2 linked regions of the Rhinolophus ferrumequinum genome follow. The protein of the gene in region 1 interacts with the protein of each later gene in a pairwise test. Links are inferred from orthologs where the notes say so. Each region holds a gene or a part of one and is shown in the gene's direction. Other genes may lie near its edges.

Evidence for each region. The genes of interacting proteins can lie anywhere in the genome.
Region 2: the proteins of TSKS (region 1) and TSSK2 interact in binary tests that used the Homo sapiens proteins (3 or more experiments, as listed by UniProt). The link is inferred for Rhinolophus ferrumequinum from reciprocal best matches to the Homo sapiens genes TSKS and TSSK2.

Annotation. Positions count from the first base shown.
Region 1 is NC_046298.1:44,808,193-44,815,412, reverse strand, and holds the start of TSKS (testis-specific serine kinase substrate), read left to right. Parts: upstream 1-4,220; coding exon 4,221-4,390; intron 4,391-4,786; coding exon 4,787-5,012; intron 5,013-7,220. UniProt on the Homo sapiens protein: May play a role in testicular physiology, most probably in the process of spermatogenesis or spermatid development.
Region 2 is NC_046308.1:23,772,101-23,778,976, forward strand, and holds TSSK2 (testis-specific serine/threonine-protein kinase 2), read left to right. Parts: upstream 1-4,949; 5' UTR 4,950-5,174; coding exon 5,175-6,239; 3' UTR 6,240-6,367; downstream 6,368-6,876. Other genes in the region: TSSK1B (testis-specific serine/threonine-protein kinase 1), read left to right, coding at 1-424.

The DNA of each region.
Region 1 (7,220 bases):
CCGGTAGGTATACAGTGGGAGCCACAGGTATAAATTTCTATTTATTCCAGGCATATTAAAAAAAAAGTAAAAAGAAAAGGTGAAATTAATTTTAATAATATATTGTATCTGATCCAATATACCCAAATATTACATTTCAACATATTTGGCATGCTTATTTTTCTAAGTCTTTGAAATCCAGGGTTTTTTACTTATAGTACATCTCAGTTGAGACTGGCCACATTGCAAGCCCTCAGTAGACACAGGCCATTCATAGTGGCATTGATATTGGATGGCATAGAATTATAGGACCAGATTTGAGAAAGAACATTTTGGAGCTCAGGGGTTGACCCACTGCTAAGTTTTAAGACCAGGCCACAAACAAATCCACGTTTGGTGGTCTAGATGAGGTTTGGGAAAGTCCATTTTGGTTTTAAGACACAGCAGCTCTGTCTTAAAGGAGCTCATGGATTGAACCATCAAGAGCTTCTAAGACTTTGACCTGAGCAAATCAACTCTCAACTTTCTCCAGAAAAACTGTATTCACCCCCAGTCTTCCCATTTTGACAAATGGGCCCTCCATCAATCACCCAGGCACTCTCGCTAGAATCCCTCCTGTCTGTCACCTCAAACCAAGGGCACAACATATCCCAGAGCCAGCCACCTCCTTACATCACTACTGCCCCGCCCCGTGTAGGCCACCATCACCATCATCTCTTGCCTGGAACTAGGGTTTCCAGGCAAGAATTCCCATCTATTCTCAGGAAATTTTTTTCGCTTTCCCGTTCCCGAATCCTGAGAAAAGTTGGTCAGGAAATCAGGAAAATCGGCTCCTTGAAGCCAGTAATACCCACAATGGGAAATAAACATACTACTCACAATGTATCTCTTAGACATGTTTCCTATTTATCGCTAGGGTTTCCAGGCGGGAATTCCTGCCCGTTCTCTGGAATTTTTTCGCTTTTTCCGTTCTTGAATCTCGAGAAAATTTGGTCGGGAAATCGGGAAAATCGGCTCCTTGAACCCAGGTGGTTGGTAGTATTATTGGCCGTCACTTTGTGGAAACGATTCATCGTGGAGAACAGAAAACAGTTTATATATCAGTATTCGGGAACGGGAAAGCAAAAAAAATTCCTGAAAACAGGCGGGAATTCCCGCCTGGAAACCCTACCTGAAACTTTGCAGTGACGTCCCTTGCTGCTCTCCCTGCTCCCATCTTGGCTACCCACGGTCCATTCTCCACACTCTCCCAGCTGCTCTTTATAACATCAGTCAGTGGTGTCCTTCCCCAGCTTAAACACTCAAGCCACACTGTCCTCCCTCTTGGCCATTCTGACCCTCCAGACACATCTCTACACCCCTCCTGCAGCTTTCCCCATAGCTGCCCCTTATCCTTCAGGTCTCAATTCAATGGCCCTGCTAAGGAGAGAACTTCTAGACTTAGGGATTTAAAGTAAGCTCTCCCTAGACCATATGTTCTCACTTATATGTGGAATCTAAAGAACAAAAGAAATTAACAAACAGACAAAATAAAGTAAGCCCTCCCTGATCTCCCTAATGTGTTCATTCTCAAGCACATTATCAGTGTTTTTTTTTAATTGTAATATATGATAAGGGAAGGAAACTAGACTTTGGGTGGTGATATATGATAAGGGAATATATGATAAGGGAAGGAGACTAGACTTTTGGGCTCACAATACACAGACGTCAAATTATAATGTTGGTACACCTGAATGTTATATGTTGTTATTAACGATTGTTACGCCAATACATTTAATAAAAGAAAAAAATAAATGCAAATAAAATGTTTTAAATTTTGTTATAGAAATTTTCAAATATGCCCCAAAGCAGAGGGTATAATGCACCCCCATATACCCAGCTCCCACCATGGTTAAGATAGACCTTTATTGTTTGATCCTATAACCCCCTCCATGTCACTTCCCCACACCCACGGCATTGTTTTAAACGCAAGCCCCGCTCATCATACCATGTCATCCGCATCACCCTGTTTCTTCCCCGGCATTTTATTAGGAAAATGTCTCAGTATTCAGAAAGTAAAAACAACCGCACAGTGAACACCCACATACCCCCCGCCTCAATCATGCCATTAACATTTCACTCTTTTGCACGTTTGTCCATCTGGCCTTCCCTCCCTCCATCAACTCATTCTGTGTTTTTGATTCATTCACAGTACGCTGCAGACATCAGTGCACTTCCTCCTATGGTAGGTTGAATTGTGCCCCCCAGGACCTGTGAATGTGCATTGTTTGGAAATAGGGTCTTTGCAGAAGATCAGGTTAAGAGAGGTCGTCTGGGAGGGCCCCGAGTCAATGTGGCTGTGTCCTTAAAAAGGAGGAAACTTGGAAACAGGTATAGACAGGGACAGACAGAGGACAAATATGAAGACATCGGGAGAAGATGGCCATCTGTAAGCCAAGGAATGCCTGAGGCTACCTGAAGCAAGGCGAGGGAGGCCTGCCACTGGATTCTCCTTCTCAGCCTCAGGAGGAACCAGCCCGCTAGCACTTCCATCTTGGACTTCTGGCCTCCAGACTTGAGAGACAATGCACTTCTGTGATTGAAGCCTCCACCCCCTCAGTCTGCGGTTCTTTTTTACAGCAGCCCCAGCAGACTGGTACAAACCCAAATTCTTCAATGCCTACCATTAACTAGAGTTCCATGTTTGTTTAGATTCTGTTTGTGTGTTGTTGTTTTTAACTTTTATTTATTTTTTATGTGTGTTTTTCCAGGACCCATCAGCTCCAAGTCAAGTAGCTGTTTCAATCTACTTGTGGAGGGCGCAGCTCATAGTGGCCCATGTGGGGATCGAACCGGCAACCTTGTTGTTAAGAGCACCATGCTTTAACCAACTGAGCTAGCCGGCCACCCCTAGATTCTTTTTTTTTTTTTTATTTTTTTGGGGTGACAATTGTTAGTAAAATTACATAGATTTCAGGTGTACAATTCTTCATTACATCATCTAGAAATTCCATTGTGTGTTCACCACCTGAAGTCAGTTCTCCTTCCATCACCATATATTTGATAGATTCTTTTTTTAATAGGCAAAATTCACATACAATAAAAGGCTTAGGGCCAGCCCGGTGGCTCAGGCGGTTAGAGCTCCATGCTCCTAACTCCGAAGGCTGCCGGTTTGATTCCCACATGGGCCAGTGGGCTCTCGGCCACGGGGTTGCCAGTTCAATTCCTCGAGTCCCACAGGGGATGGTGGGCTCTGCCCCCTGCAACTAAGTTTGAACACGGCACCTTGAGCTGAGCTGCCGCTGAGCTCCCAGATGGCTCAGTTGGTTGGAGCGCGTCCTCTCAACCACAAGGGTGCTGCCAGTTCGACTCCCGCAGGGGATGGTGGGCTGCGCCCCCTGCAACTGGCAACGGCAACTGGACCTGGAGCTGGGCTGCGCCCTCCACAACTAAGACTGAAAGGACAACAACTTGAAGCTGAATGGCACCCTCCACAACTAAGATTGAAAGGACAACAACTTGACTTGGGGAAAAAAAAAAGTCCTGGGGTACACACTGTTCCCCAATAAAGTCCTGCTCCCCTTCCCCAATAAAAAAAATCTAAAAAATAAAAAAATATAAGGCTTAAATCCCCAGTGCACAAATCAATGAGCTTCGACAATGCCCACATGACCATCACCCAGTTTTTATTCTCTTTATATTACCTGCCAACATCTGGTATTTTTGTGTGTTTCTGTCTATTGCCTGCCGGCCCTATCCCAGCTCCCCCAACCCCCATAGAATGTTAGAACCTCCAGGGCTGGGGCTCCACCCTCATTCACCACCATCTTCCAGATGCTGGGAAAGTGCCAAGTCCAGGGGATTGCATGAAGAATCAAGTATGAATATGGGGGGATGGGTGACCCCACAGTTAGCCTCAGGGAGAAGGAAGTTGGACCCCTCCCAAGAACCAGTGGTCCCATCCTTTGTAAGTTCTAAACTAGAATGAATAACTCCATGAGGTTCTGAAGCTGAGGGACACATCGGGGAAGAAACAGAATCCTGGAGGAGAAGGGTTCACTGAGACCACCCCCCTGACCCCTCCATGTGCTGAGCCAGCAGCACCTCCCCCACCCTCTGTACCCACCCCCCACTTAATGAGGCTCAGTGGTTGGGTCCTTTGTGAGGCAGGCTTGTGGGGACAGGAACTTTGAGGGTCAGTGGCCAGAGTAGGTGGAGCGTCTCAGAGGAAGGAGCCCCTGGGAGCAGGGCCCCCACACGCCATGGCTAGCGTGGTGGTGAAGACAATCTGGCAGTCCAAAGAGATCCATGAGGCTGGGGACCCCCCTGCGGGGGTCGACAGCCACTCCCAGCTGGTCCCTGAGGCTCCTGGGGGGGTGACCAGCCCAGCCAAGGGGAATGCGAAGAAAAAGAAGGCTGTGTCATTCCACGGGTGGGTTTGTCGCACCCTGTCAGGGACGGCCCTAATTAATGCCCAGCAGTGCCTCCAACAGAGCAGGAGTCCCACCGTGGGTGCTGGAGGAGGGGAGGGGGAGAAAAGGAGGGGACAGGGAAGGGGCAAGCAAGAGGGCAGTGGGGGAGGAGAAATAAAGAGAGGGGGAGGTATCGAGGTAGAAGGGAGCAGGGACGATGGCAGGGAGGTAAAAGTGGGGAAGGAAAAAATCAGAAGGGGGGACATTAAAAGAAGAAAGTAGGCAGCGGGGATGGAGAAGGAAGAAAGGAGGTGGTAAGGTTGGAATCAGAGTAGGGAGTTGGAGACAGGGAGGCAGGAGGCACCGTACCCCACTGAGGCTACATCCTGACCCTCCTGCCTGTCTCTCCTCCCTAGGGTGGAACCTCGGATGTCCCATGAGCCAATGCACTGGTGCCTGAACCTCAAACGGTCCTCGGCCTGTACCAATGTGTCCCTGCTCAACCTGGCCACCATGGAGCCCACTGACTCCTCGGGGACAGACTCTACCACAGACGACAGCGGCCTGCTGGCACTGCCTGTGCCACCTGCCTCACCCACCTCACCCTGGGCTCCAGATGACCCAGACATCACAGAAATACTGGTGAGGGGCACTTGGCTGGGGGGACGGTCCTCACCCTGGTGGTAGGCAAATACTGAGGAGTTGGGGGACGTGGTCATGTTGGTTCTGGTCACTCTTTAAAGCCCAGAGGAACTGCCTCCTTCTCCCCTAACAGCCAGCCATGAATCTGTTCCATCCTTGGTAAATGATGCCTGCTGCCGGGGAGTTGGTCTTTAGTTCACCCAGTCACTTCCCAATGTCTGGGGTGAGGCTGGGGTCATACGTAGGAGTCATGCTAGGTCCCTGCCCGGGAGAAGCTCCGTCTAGTGGGGGCAACAGGCACAGACAGAGGTAATAAACTCCACAATGGAGGTAACACTGGGGATCCCAGAAAAGGACCCCTCAAAGTAGACTGTGGGTATCAAGGAAGGCTTCCTGGAGGAGGCAGTGTTGGAACTGGGCTTTGATGGATGAGTAGGAGTTCTCTAAGGGGCTCAGCTAAGAATCTGGGGCAAAACTGGGAGGTGAACAAGATCTAAGGGAATTTATAGAATTTCTGACTGGGGCACTGTACCATAGCTTGGTCCTTTAACTCCCCCATCAACCTGACCCCCTCCCAGGCTTCTCCTGGGCCAGACAGACCCTGAACTGGGCTTGACATGGACACTAAGAATTACACTACCAATAACCATGGTCATAATGATGCTAATAAGATTCACTAGCATTTACTGAGCACTTTCTATGTTCTGGGAGCCTCGGTTTCTTCATCTGTAAAATGGAAATGAATGTGTTTCTAAAACGCCTATGAGGTGCCGGGCACTGGTCTAGGAGCAGAAAAATAGCAGCACACAAGACAGAGTTCTGGATATAACCGTACCCACTTCATGCGGTTGTCATGACAATGAAGTGCAGTTCATTCATGTAAAATGTTTAGCACAGTAGCCAGCTGTAAGCACAGAATAAATGTTGGTGGTTCTTATCATTATTTGCCCTCCATTTCACAGATGAAGATATCGAGGCCCCAAAAGGTTAAAGAGCATACCCAAAGTCATAAAGCTTGTATGTAGTGGAGCCAAGCTTAGGAATCAGGGGTAGGGGGTGGGGGCACCCTTCATTGATGGGGACAGTGAGGTCACTTGTGGAAGCCCTGGAAATGGAGGCCTTGGCCCAGCCGGCCAGGGTCAAGGAAGACTTTCCAGAAAAGGCAACACACAGACTGGATCCCAAAGATAAGAAAGGTATTCCCCAGGCAGAAGACAGTGAAGGGTGTTCCAGCTAGGGGTTGAAAAGAACCCGTGTAAGGGGGCTAAGTGCAAGTTTGTCCCTGTGGCTGGAGTGTGGCGTGTAAGAGAGAAGAGGCTGGAGAGGGGCAGGGTACAGGCCACACAGGCTGAGAAACGTCGTGTTCTTCTGAGGGCAATGTGGAGCCATGGAGGGTCCATGGACAGGGGAGAGAGAGGAGTGACTTGGGGTATTGACCCCCTTCCCATTTACTGAGCACCTAGTATGTGCCAGGCACTGTGCCATGTCACTATAGTGGGGATCTAACATTTTCCTCTCTTAGAAGTTCTGTAAGGGAAGTGGTGTCATTACCAGTTTAAAGATGAAAACAAAAATAATTGAGGTCTAGAGAGGTGGAGTGACATCTGCAAGTTCAGAGAGCTTGTAAGAAGCAGGGCCAGGACTGGTGGGATTGACACTAAAGAAAAAGCCCTTTCCTTCCCAGGAAGACTCCTCTGGGGCTGGGTGGGAGACGTGTGAAGAGCAGAGAGAGGCAGGGAGGCCTAAGAGAAGGCTGGGCAAGGGTCCAGATGGAGAGAAGGGAACAGGGCAGAGAGAGTTGGCAGGATGGATGGCCCAGGAGACATCCCCTCCCCCAGCCAGAGCAGTTTCCTCGCTGTTTGAGACCATCACTCACGCCGCACTTGCAGAGGTCTGCCTCCCATGAGCTATTTCTGAGTCACATCCCCCCCCACACCCCCCCCGTGGATTGTGACGTCTGAGAAAGAGCCCTGGGTAGCTGGGATCAAGGCCTGATGCCACCACCAGCTCACTGTGGGGCTGCAGGGGAGTATCAATCTCTATGGGGCTTCAGGTTCCTTCTCTGTGAAAGAAATAATGATGGCCAACACCTCAAGGTATGTGCAGGAGCAGTGAGAAAGTGGACAGTAAGAACATACAGGCACTCAGCACCTGAGCTACACCAGGAGAGAAAGCTGGAACAGGCAGAGAGGAGGGGGCAGAAACCCA
Region 2 (6,876 bases), on another chromosome or scaffold:
GCTGCGCATCCAGAAGGAGCACCGTGTCAACTTCCCACGCTCCAAGCACCTGACGGGCGAGTGCAAGGACCTCATCTACCGAATGCTACAGCCGGACGTCAACCGGCGGTTACACATTGATGAGATCCTCAGCCACTGCTGGGTGCAGCCTAAGGCCCGGGTCCTGTCCTCTACAGCCATCAAGGAGGGGGAGAACTCCCAGGGCACTGAGCCCTCGGATATCCCTGAGCCTGGCTCTGACAAGAAGTCTGCCACCAAGCTGGAGCCTCAAGAGGAGGCACAGCCAGAGGCAAGGTCTGAGTCACAACCCGAGGAGGAGACGCTGCAACTGCAGGTGTCCAAGCAGTTGGAGACCACAGGCGAGCAGCTGAGCAGGGAGACAGTGGAAGAGCCCCCCGCACAGCCTCCAGAGACGCAAACCTAGTAGGCCTCTCCCACGGCCCATGGGCCCAGCAGGGAATGAGGCAGAGCTCACAGCTTTGAGCCTGAGCTCCAAAAAAGCCAAGGGACAGGTCAGATAAGGAAAACAGACCCCGATGAGTCACTATTTTCGTGTTTCTTTTCCCTCCCGTTGAACTAGGCAACCCCCATTGCTAAAGAAGCAATAAATCACTATATTATTGCAAACCTGAAGGTAAATGTCTTTGACCTGGCTGACTGCAGTCGCCCAGGAGAGATTTCCCCCCTCCCCCTCAGCACTTGGGAAAATATATCTCAATGTGCCCAGCCCTGACTATGACCTGACCATGTCCTCAGGCCCTAGACCAGAGCAGAGAGCTGAGTAAGGAAGATGCTGCTTCAAGAGGGAGGCCATGAGAGCAGTGCTGGGGTGGGGAGGAGACACAGAGAAGACAGGAGGATGAAGAGGCTGCCTACAGAGGATTGGGGGGCTCCACACGGCTGCCAGTGGGGAGTGACCTGCAGAGGGCATGTGGACCAGCCTCTCAGCTTCTCTTGAGCTCCTCACCCTGGTGGGCAACTCAGCTTTTCTGCTCTGTCCACCAGGGGTTCCGCCATGTCCAGCTGGCACCTAGTTCTCAGTGGTGCTCTGAGTCATCCTGCCCTGTGGTCATTTCCTGGGCCCAGGGAACGCAGCCACACTCCAGCCTGCATGTCCCAAAGCTACTGTGTGGCCTTCACAACCCCCTATTCTCCTCTAGTCCCAGTCTGTCCCCAGGGGTGACGCTCCCTGCCAGAGTGAATAAGCTGACACTGGCGAGTAGGAGACAGGACAGGTGTTCTCACAATGCATGCCGGGCAGCTGCGGCCATCGGTGTCCCTCAGAGGGAGCATTTAGCATCACTGGCTGCCCTGCACTGTAGAGCCCTGCAAACCATTTCTCAGGCAGCCCTCACCTCAGCCGTGATGGCCTTTCTCTTCTTCCTCTGCACTCAGCTCTGATGACCTCGTATGGACCTGCAGGGTGAACACACCAAGGGGACAAGAGCCTTCAGACTCACCTCTCCCCCGCCTTCTGCCCAGGTCTTTGTCTTGGGAAGACCCCAACCGCCAGCCCCTTGGGAGAAGTGAGACCCAGTGAGTGCCCTGGACTTGCCCTCTGCAACCCTCCCCACGTCCAATCCACCACTCTGCCTGGTTCCTCCTCCCATACAGCCACCTTCACACATTCTGTCTCCATGGTCCAGTGTATCATGGCTCAGCCTCCACCGAGGCCTCCTTCCCTGCCCTCCCGTCACATCTCATAGCACCCAGTCTGGCTCCCACTGCCCCAGGAAGGGCCCCAGAGCCTGGACTTTGAGGTCCTCCCAGGTATGGCCCTCTCCTGGCTTCCCAACCCCCTCCCTCGCCTCACGTCCCACACATACATGCCATGATCATACTTGGGGACGCATTCCTGCAGCCCTTGCCCCCCTCTCCAGGCTCAGTTGAGGGGCCATGGCCTCCACAAGGCCTTCTGGGGGTCCGAACCGCACTCGGCAGCCAGCCACTGTGAGCTCTGCCAGGACAGGCCAGTGAGCGCCCAGGGTCCGGGCACAGAACAGGCCCCGAGTAACACTGGAGCGGCCACCCATTTTTTTCAGTGAAGACTGAAGGCCCCAGGAAGCCAGAATCATTCAAGTTGTTTGGTGGTGTAGCAGAATTGCAAAGTGCGTGGAGCCAGCTGAGATGGTGACGTCCTGAGGAGAGGCTCATAAACCTCCTCCCTTCGGTCATCTCTGCCACCTGCTACGGTCTTTGGGGCAGTGGGTAGTGGCCAGTGTGTGGCAAGAGGCCCTAGGAGTCTCACTGCAGCCCAGCCAGGAGGTGAGCCTGGAAGGGAGGGGGTGCAGGAAGGCACACCAATTGTATGCTTTCCAGGTAGGGAGGCAGCTCAGAGAGGGTAAACAAGTACCTGAGTCACACAGCATACAGTGGCAGCCCAGCTGACTCCCCCAGGTGACCATGTGCCAGCCACTCCTGTGAGCTGCTCAACCCACTGGGCGCAGCCCTGGATCAGACCCCTTCAGTGACCTCCCCCCCAGGACTTTAGGATCAAGGTCATCTCCATGGACGCTGTGGCCCACAGGGCTCCCTCCCACCCCACACTCTTACCATACTGTCCTTTCAGGCCACCATGTGCGCTAGCAGCTCTCCTCCTCCTGTGTGTGGCTAACTCAGCCCTCAGCCTTCCCAGCCTCCCCGCGTCTGGCCCCGTTTTGTACTCACAGCTCCGTGTTTCTTGGTGTCATGGCAGTCACCACTGGGCATTCACATTCACTGGTGTGACACTGAACCTCCCAGCCTCTGGGCTCCAGGAAAGCATGGGCCCTGTCTAGTTCATCAGTGTACCCCAGCACCTGCAACTGACCCTCAAATGCCTATGGAGTGAATGGACAAGTGGCCACCCACTTTATGGAGGAAACCAAAGCTCAGAAGGAGTGGCCTTCCCAGAGTGTGCAGGTCTCTGGCCCACAGGACTACAGGTTGGGAATCTCCTGGAGGTCCCCTGGTCCAATCTAACACCCCCGCCTTCCAATACAGAAGGAATCCCTGCCTCAGCATTCATAGGCTGAGTGACGCCACCCACCCCACATCCAGGCAGCTCCACTTGCATGACACTGCGAACTGCCTCCACCCCGTGTTCCCAAGAACCAGAGTCCACACTGTCTGGGCAAAGGCAGGACATGAGGGGGCAGAATCTAGAAAGTGGGTCAGTGGAGTCAGACATGCAGGCAGACATGGCCTCCTCAACTGAGACAAGAAGGCAGACATGCAGGGGCACCCCAGATAGAACATGGGGGCACAGGAGAAAGGGGGGTCATGCTACTGGGTCCTGACTGCAAATCATCACAGCCAGCCCCTTGTAGGATACAAAGGAGTGAAGTTCTGGTCATTTAGGCCAACAAAGAGCCCCCAGGAGAAAGGTAGGCACCAGCTAAAGCTGTTAACAATGGAAGTTCTAAGGAGCTGGGATCGGGACTCAGGGAGGCCTGGCGGCTGGAGGGCAGTTGCCTGCCTTGCTGGGGCCAGTCACTCCTGCCTGGCACCTGGACTCTGGCTGCCCTGCCCCTGCCATCTTTCACACAGACCTCCAGATACAGGGAGCTCCCCGCATGCTCTAGGTGCATCCACGTAGCCATGCTCTGGCCACACATCACATCTGCCTGGCACCTCCTGCCCCTCGTCCACCTCGTGGAGCCCTGCTGATCCTCTGTGCCCAGCGCTGTCATCCGCCCCCACCCACCCACACAGAAAAAGGCCTTCCTCTCTCCTCTGAACACCAAGCACGTGGCACACCTGTCCTGGCCACTTGCTGTGTGTGGGCACAGGATGTCTGTGATGGAGGATAAATGAACAGCAGAGCTTCCAAAGGACCTAAGGAGATGGACACAGGAGGCCATGTTTTCCAAAGCAGAACTCCACACTCGTGTCCTGAAAAAGGGTTTTCACATTGTTTCCAGGCGCAAAAGACAGTCTGAGATGAAACGATGTGCTTTCCCAGGGTTCCAACAGCCACAACACGCCACTCCTCACAAAGGCCCAAAGTGACACAATTGAGGACTCCTAAGTGCCCAGGTGCTGGCTCTTAATGGTTGAGGTTCTGGGTACTGCCAGGACCCCCACACCCAGGGCCCCACCCACGTGCTGAGCAGAGCACGACCCTCCTCTGTCCCCCTCTGCTGCCCAATCCCCACAGGCCCGCGCTGGTCTGGCCTGCTCCTGCCGAGTCAAAGGCATTGGCCTCCACTCACCCCAAAGCCCATTCTCTATGTTGCCATCTGAAAACGTGACTTGGGTCACAGATCTTCCTGCTCCGGGCCCTGCAATGCCTGCCATCACTCAGGGAAAAGCCCTCACTTATCTTCTCCCCACCACCCTCCTGACTGGGAGTCAGCCATTCTCAGACCCAGCAAGTCCTCTCCTCTCCTAGGCTCTTCCCTACCTGGATAATTCACTATCTTGTCTACTTGACTGAATCTGGCCCACCCTCCAGGCTGACCCCCAGTCCTTGGAACACACATCTGCCGGTTCAGGGCTCACAGCAGCCCCAAGCCCTGCCTGCCCTCGCCCTCCACACACGTCCAGCTGACTGCGGCAGCAGCAGCAGCAGCAGCACTCATCCACCCAGCTCTCTACCCCAAATAGGAGCTGCTCTTATCCACCGCACTTGGATCCACCGCCGGCCTGGCCAGACCAGGGTGGTCCCTCGCAAGCACCACCCGTTCTGAGGACACAAGCCCTCGACAGGGTTTCCTTCACATCCCAAAGAAGCTGCAGGAAATTGGCCCCAGTGGGACAAGGACCAATGCAGGGTCTCCACAGCCAGGAGAAGGAAACTGACATGGGGCTAGTACCCTGGCTAGACCTGGGAAGCCCCCATCCATGCCTGCCTCGTGACAGGGAAGCCACCGCAAGGAGGAGGAGCAGGGAGGGTTACCATCGTCCCGAGTGCCAGCATCCTTGCTGTGGGTGGGGAGTGGGCGTTCCTGCCAGGCCCGCCTGGCTTCTAGGGTTCCAGGGGCCCTATTCCCCCCAGCGCAGTCCCCACTCCCGGCAGCCTGGCTTTATGACTTCACGTGCTGAAGTCACTTGGAGACAATGCTGAGCGTTCCACTCCTCAAGGCCGGGCCAGCCCAGCCAGACGACTCCCCACACTGTAACTGAGGACAATGCCCGCTGGCCCATGTTGGGAGGGGATGTAGAGGGTAGCGGCGCCAGCCGCTCCTGGCACCATGGACGATGCCGCGGTCCTAAGGAAGAAGGGTTATGTCGTTGGCATCAATCTTGGCAAAGGCTCCTATGCAAAAGTCAAATCTGCCTATTCCGAGCGCCTCAAGTTCAATGTGGCGGTCAAGATCATTGATCGCAAGAAAACGCCTACGGACTTTGTGGAGAGATTCCTGCCTCGGGAGATGGACATCCTGGCAACTGTCAACCACCGCTCCATCATCAAGACCTATGAGATCTTTGAGACCTCAGACGGGCGCATCTACATTGTCATGGAGCTGGGCGTCCAGGGCGACCTCCTCGAGTTCATCAAGTGCCGCGGGGCCCTGCACGAGGATGTGGCACGCAGGATGTTCCGCCAGCTCTCCTCGGCTGTCAAATACTGCCATGACCTAGATGTCGTCCACCGAGACCTCAAGTGCGAGAACCTTCTCCTCGACAAGGATTTCAACATCAAGCTGTCCGACTTCGGATTCTCCAAGCGCTGCCTACGGGATGGCAGCGGGCGCATCATCCTCAGCAAGACCTTCTGTGGGTCGGCGGCGTACGCGGCCCCCGAGGTGCTGCAGGGCATCCCCTACCAGCCCAAGGTCTATGACATCTGGAGCCTGGGCGTGATCCTCTACATCATGGTCTGCGGCTCCATGCCCTACGATGACTCCGACATCAAGAAGATGCTGCGCATTCAGAAGGAGCACCGTGTGGACTTTCCACGCTCCAAGAACCTGACGGGCGAGTGCAAGGACCTCATCTACCGCATCCTGCAGCCAGACGTCAACCGGCGGTTACACATTGATGAGATCCTCAGCCACTCGTGGTTGCAGCCCCCCAAACCCAAAGCCATGTCTTCTGCCTCCTTCAAGAGGGAGGGTGACAGCAAGTACCGGGCCGAGTGCAAACTGGACACACGGCCAGGCTCGCGGCCCGACCACAAGCTGGGGGCCAAAATCCAGCACCGACTGCTGGTGGTGCCCGAGAACGAGGACAGGATGGAGGAAAGGCTGGCCGAGACCTCCAGGACAAAAGACCATCACGTCGCCGGAGCCGAGGTGGGGAAGGCAGGCACCTAGGGTGCTGAGGGCCGGGGGACGTGGTGCATAGTGGTGTCCCCATAAACTAAGTAAGCAGGTAGGAGCTGAAGAAGGCACAGGTGCAAGGAACAAGTAAAATCCGTCAATTAAACCACTATTTTGATTACGTTCTATTAGCTTTCTTCTACTTAGTAGCAAAGACATTAATTATTGACCAGCAAATAAACCACAAAGTGTAAACAAGCATTGAGAGCGCCCCCTGAGGAGTCTTTTTCTCTAGCACTCAGCCGACCACCCTCCCTGCGGCACGGGGGTCTCCAGCGTAGGGGTCCAGGGACCAGTGCTCAGGCACAGGTACTCATGGAGAGGCCTTGTGGGCACGGAGAACACCGCGGCCATGGCCCACCCGCTAAGCCCCACCGGTCTCCCTCTGACCTGCCCGCGCCGTGCTCCAGGGCTGGCCAGGTGCACGTCTCCCACCTCAGGTGCAGCACAGCCCACCCTGACTCCCTCAGAGCTTTTCCTCAGAATCCTCCTGCCCCTCCCCCCTCCCTTCCCCCTGAAGCACCCCCTCCATCCAAGACCTCTGATCTGCACCGTCTCTACGGCCTCCCGATTGCCCCATGCATCAGCCCTATTTTGTCACCTGTCACTCCCCAGGGCACACTTCCCACAG